Linked DNA regions of Saccharomyces cerevisiae S288C. The protein of the gene in region 2 purifies or fractionates together with the protein of the main gene of each other region. This does not show direct contact. Each region holds a gene or a part of one and is shown on either strand. Other genes may lie near its edges.

Evidence for each region. The genes of interacting proteins can lie anywhere in the genome.
Region 1: the proteins of HXT6 (region 2) and YGR266W purify together in Saccharomyces cerevisiae (affinity purification with mass spectrometry, with the first as the bait; one large-scale study listed by BioGRID). This does not show direct contact.

The regions. Positions count from the first base shown.
Region 1 is NC_001139.9:1,020,677-1,025,261, reverse strand, and holds YGR266W (uncharacterized protein), read right to left. Parts: upstream 2,607-4,585; coding exon 501-2,606; downstream 1-500. Other genes in the region: FOL2 (GTP cyclohydrolase I), read left to right, coding at 1-258; methionine--tRNA ligase MES1, read left to right, coding at 3,409-4,585.
Region 2 is NC_001136.10:1,155,997-1,164,730, reverse strand, and holds HXT6 (hexose transporter HXT6), read left to right. Parts: upstream 1-3,410; coding exon 3,411-5,123; downstream 5,124-8,734. Other genes in the region: hexose transporter HXT3, read left to right, coding at 71-1,774; YDR344C (uncharacterized protein), read left to right, coding at 2,282-2,725. UniProt on the Saccharomyces cerevisiae protein: High-affinity glucose transporter.

The DNA of each region.
Region 1 (4,585 bases), on a different chromosome or scaffold from region 2:
TTGGCCAGATTGGCAGAAATGTATGCGAGAAGGCTCCAAGTTCAAGAAAGACTTACAAAGCAAATTGCAATGGCCCTAAGTGATATTCTAAAACCATTAGGTGTAGCCGTTGTTATGGAAGCTTCTCATATGTGCATGGTTTCAAGAGGCATTCAAAAAACGGGATCTTCTACGGTAACTTCTTGTATGCTTGGAGGGTTTAGGGCTCATAAAACAAGAGAAGAGTTTTTAACTCTTTTAGGAAGAAGAAGTATTTGAAAAAAAAAAATAAAAGCGACGATATATCGTGTATGTATTAACTAAATTAATAGAGATATACAGGATTAATATCGTTTGAGAAATCTCCATAGAGAAAGGCCACGCGCGACTGAGCTTTTTTTTTTTTCAACAATCAGTATATACATTTACTTCCGGTACAGCATCGCACTTGACAGTCCGTTAGTAATGAATAGAAAAGTTTGAACTGCTAAATAAAAATCTGTAATTATCACAAAACTAAACTATGTGATATTCAGATGTTTGATACCCTTGTGAGACAACCGTTCGCAGGTAACTGTTAACTCTGGAATGGGTAAACAGTAGCTCACAGTTTGTGAGTTTGTTTGATTTGCATCTCTTTCAACATGAATGGTGGTAAACAAGCCACCAGAAGTTACTGGATAAGAGTTAATTTGGTCATCGTTTTCCAATTTCTGTAGCTTTTGCTGTTCTGTGATGATACCAGGAATGACTATATCACCAACCTTTACGCCTAATTCTTTACTCAATTGGGGATTATTCAACAGGTTTTCTATAGGTATAATATCTGACCAGTTTCTCTTGTTCATGAAACATGATTCTTTACGTTTATGTACTCCATCCACTTCCTTGGCAAAAATTGGTACGGCATCTTCATCCGTTTCCAAATCGAAATGATGCAAGCGACATCTTTTTTGCAATAGCGTGGCCATTGCATCTGGCGGTGGGGTATTTACTATGGCGCTAGCAATGATATTAAAAATCAGCCTTACGTCTTTCGTTGGTTCTTCAATAATTCTGGTGTTTTCCTTTTCCTTCTCCTCAGACATGATGAGATGGTGTCTATGAATTTTTGCCCTAAATCTCCCAACAGATGCCAAATGTACATCGCCTGATAATATGGTTATTCTGACGCCATATTTAGCACCTATGTCTTGCAATTTCATTATCAAGTAGTTTCTTTCTTTTTTATGATGTCTCGCGCACCAATGATCATTTAAATCATCCAACAGTTCTACATCTCCATTAAATTCGTTAACGAAGCCACTAGCAAATATCCCTTTTTTAGATAAATATTTAATTGGAGCCAGTAGTTTTGAGGTAAAAAGCCATTCTAACCATACTAACCTTGGATATGCAATCGGGATACCGAGCATCAGCAATAAGTGGCCACCTTTTAAATTTTTTATTTCCCTTTCGACACGTTCCCAAATTAAGGAATAACTTCTTTCTGAGAAAATCTCGTGTAATTTCCTCTCAGTTCTACAGTCCAACCCTAACATGGCCATTTTCGGACCCAACCAAGAGAATATTGAGTGAGACCTTTCACCGATATAAGAACTCCCTTTTTCATTACCTAGAATCCATTGTTTGCTCTTGAGATAAGCATACTCATCGCCATCTTGTTTAGAAGCACTGACATGCTGCTGGAAAAGCATATAGTATCGGTAAGCCATTCTTCCCACTGTGAGGAAATTTTCAGTCTTCATGAAGGAATCGTTGTACGATCCATAGCCATCAATAATATCGTGGTCATCCCAGACATTAATGGCAGGAATACAAGCTAGTGACTTGACAAAGCATTTTTGGGTGGTCTTGGATTTTGGGGTAGAACCATACCAGTGACCGTAACCGTACCAGTTTAAATAGTGTTCTAAATAAAACTGCCTAATCTGCTCTTTTGTTTCTTCAGTGGTCTGAGTATTATACTTCTTAATTGGGTCCTTTGTCTCCAGCCAAGCTTTAAGATTTGGCGCATGCAGTTTAATATTATCGGAGTAAATTTGATCTCCGCCGCCGAGAATGGCATGATAATGAACGTATCGATGCTTTTTAAGGACATCATACCATAGAGAACCTTTGAATTTCGATGTATCTACGCTCAGTGAAAATCCGTTGCATGAATAGGAGATAACGTTCGAATTTTGAGTGAAAGAGGGAACGAAGAACCTATAATGTGGTTCCATAGTACCGTCAACAGCATATTTTACCATCTGCTCATAGTTGGACATGGGCAACTTAATCTCATACCTGTAAAACCATATATTATCATCTTTTAAAATGTCCTTATGAAAAAGTTTACCTTCGAAGAATGCCTCGTTAACTTCGATGTCTTCATCCTCAGAGGGCAAAGAGGGCCCTAGCTGATAGGTAATTTTCGGAAAGTTTTCCTCGCCTCTAACTACCACCATAATAGACCCCTCGTAGGTTTTTTCCTTAAAATCCATGTTGATGAGTCTTAATATCGGTCCACATATAATACCAGACTTTGGAATTGGCGAAGTTTCGGAACAGTCATCGCAGCCAGTGACATCGTCTCTATAAAGAGCTTCTGGGTTCCAATCGTCGAACCAGTTTGTAGCATGCATTTTTGTAGCAGTGTTTATTTTCAATTGAGTACTTTGAACCCGGTAGCAACTGTTTTGACCTTCTGTAGGACTTTCCCCTCACTAACTTTGTGGAATTTCTTTTCATTTTTACTAATGGACCCTTCGCTATGTAGCCGTGCCGATAAAAATATATTCCTGGTATTACCCGACGCTGCTATTTCAACTTTTTTCAATAAAAGGACGAAAAAATAACATGTTTAATCTTGAGACCTTCTGGGTTAAGTTTATTGATAGAGATTAAGTACTAGTTTAAAACGTCTCAGGCATAAAACATGAATTATGCTAACTTTTTAGCTACAGCGGACATAGTTGTACAAACTGAGGAAAGGCTTCTTTAACCAGGGATTTTGAAGTAGGAATTGTTGAAGTCAAAAATGGGAACCTATGGAGGGGAATTCAAAAGGCATGAAGTCAAAAGATTAACATAATATAATTCAACTTTGAAAAATATTCTAGTCAAAGCTTTCCCGAGAACGCGTAGCGTGATGATAATGGTGTATCCTATCGATCTGTCGACTTGCTATGATTATCTTTGTTAGCCGCCGAAACGATCATTTATGCATTGCCCGAGTATAGTCACTTCTTCTCAATATCACGAGGCACGAATGATTTCGGAGGCAGAAAAAATTTCTGTACGCAACTTATCGAAAGAGAAAACGAAAAAAAAAAAAAGACGATGACAAATTTTCTTCGATGTCTAATGTTAATGATGATTTGCTTCCTGATATGCATCTTTGTGGAGGAATAAAACTTGAAAAAAAAGCGGAAATTTACAACAAGCATGTCTTTCCTCATTTCCTTTGATAAATCGAAGAAACATCCTGCCCATTTGCAGTTAGCGAACAATTTGAAGATTGCCCTAGCACTTGAATATGCAAGCAAAAATTTAAAGCCTGAAGTTGACAATGATAATGCTGCCATGGAATTGCGCAATACAAAGGAACCTTTCCTTTTGTTTGATGCTAACGCTATTCTAAGATATGTCATGGATGATTTTGAAGGTCAAACTTCCGACAAGTATCAATTTGCATTGGCATCTTTACAAAACCTGTTATATCATAAAGAATTACCTCAACAACATGTCGAGGTTTTGACAAATAAGGCCATTGAAAATTACTTGGTCGAATTAAAAGAACCATTGACTACTACAGATTTGATCCTGTTTGCTAACGTTTATGCTCTAAATTCTTCTTTAGTTCATTCTAAATTCCCAGAATTGCCATCCAAAGTGCATAACGCTGTAGCATTGGCTAAAAAGCATGTTCCACGTGATTCTTCTTCTTTCAAAAACATCGGCGCAGTGAAAATCCAAGCTGACTTAACAGTTAAGCCAAAGGATTCAGAAATTTTGCCTAAGCCAAACGAAAGAAACATCTTGATCACTTCGGCATTACCTTATGTCAACAACGTTCCACACTTGGGTAATATCATCGGTAGTGTTCTTTCAGCAGACATTTTTGCTCGTTACTGTAAGGGACGTAATTATAATGCCTTGTTTATTTGTGGTACTGATGAATATGGTACTGCCACGGAAACTAAAGCTTTGGAGGAAGGTGTGACACCAAGACAATTATGTGACAAATATCACAAAATCCACAGTGACGTTTACAAGTGGTTCCAAATTGGATTTGATTATTTCGGTAGAACTACGACGGACAAGCAAACGGAGATTGCTCAACATATTTTTACAAAGCTAAATTCGAATGGTTATCTAGAAGAACAATCTATGAAGCAATTGTACTGTCCAGTTCATAATTCTTATCTGGCTGATCGTTACGTGGAAGGTGAATGTCCAAAATGTCACTACGATGATGCTCGTGGGGATCAATGTGACAAATGTGGTGCCCTGTTAGATCCATTTGAATTGATCAATCCACGTTGTAAATTAGATGATGCTTCTCCAGAACCAAAATATTCTGATCATATTTTCCTATCGCTGGATAAATTAGAAAGCCAAA
Region 2 (8,734 bases):
ATAATTTTACTTAATAGCTTTTCATAAATAATAGAATCACAAACAAAATTTACATCTGAGTTAAACAATCATGAATTCAACTCCAGATTTAATATCTCCACAAAAGTCAAGTGAGAATTCGAATGCTGACCTGCCTTCGAATAGCTCTCAGGTAATGAACATGCCTGAAGAAAAAGGTGTTCAAGATGATTTCCAAGCTGAGGCCGACCAAGTACTTACCAACCCAAATACAGGTAAAGGTGCATATGTCACTGTGTCTATCTGTTGTGTTATGGTTGCCTTCGGTGGTTTCGTTTTCGGTTGGGATACTGGTACCATTTCTGGTTTCGTCGCCCAAACTGATTTCTTGAGAAGATTCGGTATGAAGCATAAAGATGGTAGTTATTATTTGTCTAAGGTTAGAACTGGTTTAATTGTCTCCATTTTCAACATTGGTTGTGCCATTGGTGGTATTATTTTGGCTAAATTGGGTGATATGTACGGTCGTAAAATGGGTTTGATTGTCGTTGTTGTTATCTACATCATCGGTATTATTATTCAAATTGCATCCATCAACAAATGGTACCAATATTTCATCGGTAGAATTATTTCCGGTTTGGGTGTTGGTGGTATTGCCGTTTTATCTCCTATGTTGATTTCTGAAGTCGCTCCTAAGGAAATGAGAGGTACTTTAGTCTCCTGTTACCAACTGATGATTACCTTGGGTATTTTCTTGGGTTACTGTACCAACTTCGGTACTAAGAACTACTCCAACTCTGTGCAATGGAGAGTTCCATTAGGTTTGTGTTTTGCCTGGGCTTTGTTTATGATCGGTGGTATGACTTTCGTTCCAGAATCCCCACGTTATTTGGTTGAAGCTGGTCAAATTGACGAAGCAAGAGCATCTCTTTCCAAAGTTAACAAGGTTGCCCCAGACCATCCATTCATTCAACAAGAGTTGGAAGTTATTGAAGCTAGTGTTGAAGAAGCTAGAGCTGCTGGTTCAGCATCATGGGGTGAGTTGTTCACTGGTAAGCCGGCCATGTTTAAGCGTACTATGATGGGTATCATGATCCAATCTCTACAACAATTGACTGGTGATAACTATTTCTTCTACTATGGTACTACCGTTTTTAACGCTGTTGGTATGAGTGATTCTTTCGAAACTTCTATTGTTTTCGGTGTCGTCAACTTCTTCTCTACTTGTTGTTCTTTGTACACTGTCGATCGTTTTGGACGTCGTAACTGTTTGTTATATGGTGCCATTGGTATGGTCTGCTGTTATGTAGTTTACGCTTCTGTTGGTGTCACCAGACTATGGCCAAATGGTGAAGGTAATGGTTCATCCAAGGGTGCTGGTAACTGTATGATTGTCTTTGCCTGTTTCTATATTTTCTGTTTTGCTACCACTTGGGCTCCAATTGCTTATGTTGTTATTTCTGAAACTTTCCCATTGAGAGTCAAGTCTAAGGCTATGTCTATTGCTACAGCTGCTAATTGGTTGTGGGGTTTCTTGATTGGTTTCTTCACTCCATTTATTACTGGTGCTATTAACTTCTACTACGGTTACGTTTTCATGGGCTGTATGGTTTTCGCCTACTTCTACGTTTTCTTCTTTGTGCCAGAAACTAAGGGTTTGACTTTGGAAGAAGTCAATGATATGTACGCTGAAGGTGTTCTACCATGGAAGTCTGCTTCATGGGTTCCAACATCTCAAAGAGGTGCTAACTACGATGCTGATGCATTGATGCATGATGACCAGCCATTCTACAAGAAAATGTTCGGCAAGAAATAATTTCACGCTAAACCGTAGTGCTGAATAATAGTGTATTTTAAGATTCGATGTGCTAGTCAATAATGATAAATAATACACAAGATTTATGACTTTATATATATAATTCTCTGATACAGTTAATAAAAGACATTGGTACATGATATCAAACAGAATTTTAACATTTCTTGATCCAGTTTGTAAACAAAACAAACAATTTTTCTACCATTTAACTTCATACCATCGGCGAGAGCCGAACAGGAAAAAAAAGAAGTCTCCGGTTATCGTAAGCAGTATCAAATAATAAGAATGTATGTGTGTGCAATTTGTTATACCCACGAAGAAGTGCGCAGTAGAGTTAGAAAACCAACTGAGTAATCTTTACTCCCGACAATCGTCCAATAATCCTCTTGTTGCTAGGAACGTGATGATGGATTTCGTTTGAAATCCGGACGGAAAACTCAAAAGAAGTCCAACCACCAACCATTTTCGAGCCTCAAGAATCTCTAAGCAGGTTTCTTTACTAAGGGGATGGCCTTTCTGTCCTGGACATTTTTTCCTTCCTTTTTTCATTTCCTTGAAAGGAACAGATTTTTTTTGACTTTTGCCACACAGCTGCACTATCTCAACCCCTTTTACATTTTAAGTTTTCGGGTTGAATGGCATCAAATTTGGGAAAATTTAGCTTACTCAGACACCAACACATTTTTTCATGAGTATTGTTGGAAAATCTTTCCATGCTTATCAGCCGGAATACGGAACAACGGCTGCTGTGATGCCGCAAAGGGGCAAGGAAAAAATAAGCAACACACACCGAAACAGGAGGAAGAAATTCCGAACACAAGCCTAAGAAGACACCGCAGTTGTTGCAACATGTTCACATGTTCATCCCCCTGCTACTACTTGGAAATTAATGTAGGGGTAATTGGAGTGCGCCGGCCCGTGCTTTCAGAGGAACAAAGGAAGAATTGTTAAAAAAAGGCAGTGACAACGAGCACGGGTGCACCATATGGTGTGATAAGCAACCTAGGACAAAAAGAAGTGCGCAGTTCCTGTGTGCGGCGCCAAGACAAATGTTTCATATGCTTCTCCAAGGGGCTACGCTACCTAGCCTCACCACCCGATCTCTTTTTTTCCTGAACGCAGAGGGGACCGTACGAAAAAAAATGTTTTTTAGGCAACGGAGATTCGTTTTATCCACGTTTACCCCACAAAAAGTGCAGGTACATTGTGGGGCCCCGGCATCGAAAACCAGTTTTTTTCCTTTAAACGCTGGAAAAAAAGGAGAAATTATTGGAACTTTGCAGAGAATAGTCCGTAGGCAAATTGAAAATGTTCCTTAAAAAATTTCGTTTCTTACTCATTGAGATTATTCAGATGCCCTCCGTGCCTTCATTGAAAAAAATCCAAGAGATGTCTCGGATCTGTATGCAGATTTTGGCTTGCAGACAATGGAGAGCAAATGGGTATACAATATAGAAAGCACAGAAACATATAAAAAGAGCTCGAGAAAAGACATATGGTTTGTAACTATCTTCTTCTTTTTTCCAATTTTTCTGTTTTAATAATAAAAAAACAAGAACAAACAAGCTCAACTTGTCTTTTCTAAGAACAAAGAATAAACACAAAAACAAAAAGTTTTTTTAATTTTAATCAAAAAATGTCACAAGACGCTGCTATTGCAGAGCAAACTCCTGTGGAGCATCTCTCTGCTGTTGACTCAGCCTCCCACTCGGTTTTATCTACACCATCAAACAAGGCTGAAAGAGATGAAATAAAAGCTTATGGTGAAGGTGAAGAGCACGAACCTGTCGTTGAAATTCCAAAGAGACCAGCTTCTGCCTATGTCACTGTCTCTATTATGTGTATCATGATCGCCTTTGGTGGTTTCGTTTTCGGTTGGGATACTGGTACCATTTCTGGTTTCATCAATCAAACCGATTTCATCAGAAGATTTGGTATGAAGCATAAAGATGGTACTAATTATTTGTCTAAGGTTAGAACTGGTTTGATTGTCTCCATTTTCAACATTGGTTGTGCCATTGGTGGTATTATTCTTTCCAAATTGGGTGATATGTACGGTCGTAAGGTGGGTTTGATTGTCGTTGTTGTCATCTACATCATCGGTATTATTATTCAAATTGCATCTATCAACAAATGGTACCAATATTTCATCGGTAGAATTATTTCCGGTTTGGGTGTTGGTGGTATTGCCGTTTTATCTCCTATGTTGATTTCTGAAGTATCCCCAAAGCATTTAAGGGGTACTTTAGTCTCTTGCTACCAATTGATGATTACTGCCGGTATTTTCTTGGGTTACTGTACCAACTTCGGTACTAAGAACTACTCCAACTCTGTGCAATGGAGAGTTCCATTAGGTTTGTGTTTTGCCTGGGCTTTGTTTATGATTGGTGGTATGACATTTGTTCCAGAGTCTCCACGTTATTTGGCTGAAGTCGGTAAGATCGAAGAAGCCAAACGTTCTATTGCCGTTTCTAACAAGGTTGCTGTTGATGATCCATCTGTTTTGGCTGAAGTCGAAGCTGTCTTGGCTGGTGTAGAGGCAGAGAAATTAGCTGGTAATGCATCCTGGGGTGAATTGTTTAGTAGCAAGACAAAGGTCCTTCAGCGTTTGATCATGGGTGCTATGATTCAATCTCTACAACAATTGACAGGTGATAACTATTTCTTCTACTATGGTACTACTATTTTCAAGGCTGTTGGTTTGAGTGACTCTTTCGAAACCTCTATTGTCTTGGGTATTGTTAACTTTGCTTCCACCTTTGTTGGTATTTACGTTGTTGAGAGATATGGTCGTCGTACTTGTTTGCTATGGGGTGCTGCATCCATGACTGCTTGTATGGTTGTCTATGCTTCCGTGGGTGTCACCAGATTATGGCCAAATGGTCAAGACCAACCATCTTCCAAGGGTGCTGGTAACTGTATGATTGTCTTTGCCTGTTTCTATATTTTCTGTTTTGCTACTACATGGGCTCCAATTCCTTATGTCGTTGTTTCTGAAACTTTCCCATTGAGAGTCAAGTCTAAGGCTATGTCTATTGCTACAGCTGCTAATTGGTTGTGGGGTTTCTTGATTGGTTTCTTCACTCCATTTATTACTGGTGCTATTAACTTCTACTACGGTTACGTTTTCATGGGCTGTTTGGTCTTCATGTTCTTCTATGTTTTGTTAGTTGTTCCAGAAACTAAGGGTTTGACTTTGGAAGAAGTCAACACCATGTGGGAAGAAGGTGTTCTACCATGGAAGTCTGCCTCATGGGTTCCACCATCTAGAAGAGGTGCCAACTACGACGCTGAAGAAATGGCTCACGATGATAAGCCATTGTACAAGAGAATGTTCAGCACCAAATAATTTGCGAACATTTTTATTAATTCATGATCACGCTCTAATTTGTGCATTTGAAATGCACTCTAATTCTGATTTTATATTTTTAATGAACCCTTACGATTTATATTGTATGGCAAGATGTTGCCAATAGAAGTATAATTTTTTATTAATTTTTTTTCTTTTCTAAGCTTTGAAGAAAAGTTAACAGCTTTACCCTTCAAAGTTATTGTTTTGTAGCGCTAGAAGCGAAGTAGGCGCTCTTTCTCGCATAAGCTACCTTAGGAGGAAAAAAAAAGTCTTCTATTATAAACAAAGTACTCTATAATTCATCAAAAAAATTAATTATGAGCCGGAGCTTTTCACAATCAGTGTACATATGCAGGGCTCACCTCGGTACTGCGCTTTTCTACCTGAAATTAAATAGAGTCACCTCATTACAATGAAGCTACTAAACTCCTCAATGTTAAACTGGCATTGCGACAGAGTAGAGAAGGCTTGTCAATAAACCTGAATTTTTGGTAATAAAAAGAAAATGGGGATCATATTAGGCCTTTATGATCATCCTTGGCAAACTACATCCCATATATGTTTGAAAAAGGGTTAATGATATGAAAATGTTTTTATTTAATAAGAAATGATGTACTACTGGCGGCGATTGGTAAAGAGGATCTAAGTTTTCTTTCCTGGCAGATGATAAACAGTTAGCATTCCCCAAAAAAAATAATTTCACCTTGTTAAAAAGGTAATTTGCGAGAAAACATGAACAGTCTGCCCCTTAATGAACAGTTTTTGGCCAAAGTCCTATTCGAATATATTTTAGTGGAAGAAAATCTTGTAGGCTGTAAACTTATTGATAGGCCCATTTGGTACTATTATATGTTATTTCAGCAACAATTTATGGAAAGGTTGCCGTAAGTAACCTTTAGATGGCAGGAAGGAAAAAAATCATGCTTTAAGAGTGGCTTCAGTAGCTAAAAAGGTAGTATACATCGCACAGTGAATATTCGCCCCAATGGACGGAAAAGTTCATGCAAGATTAAACGCAGTACCAGAAAGCCGCGTTTGTATGGTTTTATTGGCGTCCATACAAATAACTTATTAGCGGGGTGACAATTCAGAGACAATTCTAATGTCGAAAAGTGTACCATCACTAAAGTATTCCAGGGACTTCTGCCCACCACGTAGAAACGCGTTGTTGAATTATTTGACACAGTAATTTACCTAACTGGTCAAATGATTCTGTCTACTTCATTGGCTATTTTTCGATTTCTTTAACCTGCGACAGGAATTCAACAATGTTTAAACAAAAAATTCTGACAGCTAACTAGTAATTTTTGACATAAAATAATGATTATCTTCACCATGATAGAAATGCAGGACACGTAGTAAAAAGAAGAGATTTTTCCTTCTAGTACCGCGTGCTCAATACCACACTTTTGCAAAAATGCATCGATATATTAGGTAAACTCAAACAACGAAAGGAGGAATAGGCATTCGATATTGCTATTTTCAAATTGTATGCTGACGTCAACTTTTTATTAAGGATATGATAAAATCAACAAATGCCAACTTCTTCAACTTTTAGAAAGTACGAAATGCTAATAATCTTTTGTTCGTATGCTCCCTGAGTTACAATTCTAAGATCATTTTTGTGTTCGGTCACCAGCAACACTATATAACGAAATAACAGTTGCCATATTCGTTTTCTGTCTTGTTGAAGCTCAGATTGCTCAAGAAATAAAATAATTACTACATGAGACAAAAAATCTCATGGGAGCAAAATTTTCAACGCATGTTCAGACCATTTTTTTTTGCCGATGAGTGAGTAATCGCCAATGGGTCTTAATCAATTACAGATCTTAAACAGTCGTTTGGTTTTCGATGCTCAAGGGATCGGACCAGCAATAATCGGAAGAAGAGATCAAACAATCGGTCATTAGTCTCAAAGAACATGCAAGCTAACACAATGTTAGTGAGGAAGAGATAAAAGTGTGGGGTGATGGTTGTTCCTTATGTTTATTACAGGAGAACGTTAAGTGAACTCTGAGAACTAACTGCAGCAGCTTGATTCTCCGCCTGTTTACTTGGAAAAGAAATGGGAACAAAAAAGGTACTGCATTTTTTTCCGGTTCTTTTCTCCACCTAGGATGAGGAGTAATTTGCCTTAATGGGGGATTAAATCCGGGGCTTTCCAAAGCGGGACCCATTTAATTCCACCTTCGGATTTTTTTGCATAAACTCTCAATTTCCCCGCGATCCATCTGCCGAATGGTGCACTCTACGGAAAAATACAGTAAGAAAAAAAAAAGTCCTGTAATCTTCAAGTCTTAGATTGACAGGAACGTTAATATTTTTCCTGATCTATGTTTGACAAGTATGGTAATTGATAAAATTACGCATATACTGCCAATAGCCCTAAGTGATAGTAGTCGGAAGAAAACAAAATGGCAAGCAGTTGACAGCAAAAATTGTTAGCGTATCCTATGGGTGGTGGAAAGAAAAGTTTATTAAGCTAGTATTATGTGTTTTTACTTTCTCACGGAAAAATTCTCTAGAAGAAAAGCGATTTTATTTTTTTATTTTTATTATACTTAGCATCTCGAAAAATTTCATTCACACGGTGAAAAGAAATTCCGAATGAATTAAGATCGCATTTAATTTCTTGATGTCTACATTAACAGGCTGCACAAAACAACCCTAGAAAATAGTACTCTCATCGCTAAGATCATTTGGGGTTGTTAAGCATGCCCTGCTAAACACGCCCTACTAAACACTTCAAAAGCAACTTAAAATATTTTTATCTAATTATAGCTAAAACCCAATGTGAAAGACATATCATACTGTAAAAGTGAAAAAGCAGCACCGTTGAACGCCGCAAGAGTGCTCCCATAACGCTTTACTAGAGGGCTAGATTTTAATGGCCCCTTCATGGAGAAGTTATGAGGACAAATCCCACTACAGAAAGCGCAACAAATTTTTTTTTCCGTAACAACAAACATCTCATCTAGTTTCTGCCTTAAACAAAGCCGCAGCCAGAGCCGTTTTTCCGCCATATTTATCCAGGATTGTTCCATACGGCTCCGTCAGAGGCTGCTACGGGATGTTTTTTTTTTACCCCGTGGAAATGAGGGGTATGCAGGAATTTGTGCGGGGTAGGAAATCTTTTTTTTTTTTAGGAGGAACAACTGGTGGAAGAATGCCCACACTTCTCAGAAATGCATGCAGTGGCAGCACGCTAATTCGAAAAAATTCTCCAGAAAGGCAACGCAAAATTTTTTTTCCAGGGAATAAACTTTTTATGACCCACTACTTCTCGTAGGAACAATTTCGGGCCCCTGCGTGTTCTTCTGAGGTTCATCTTTTACATTTGCTTCTGCTGGATAATTTTCAGAGGCAACAAGGAAAAATTAGATGGCAAAAAGTCGTCTTTCAAGGAAAAATCCCCACCATCTTTCGAGATCCCCTGTAACTTATTGGCAACTGAAAGAATGAAAAGGAGGAAAATACAAAATATACTAGAACTGAAAAAAAAAAAGTATAAATAGAGACGATATATGCCAATACTTCACAATGTTCGAATCTATTCTTCATTTGCAGCTATTGTAAAATAATAAAACATCAAGAACAAACAAGCT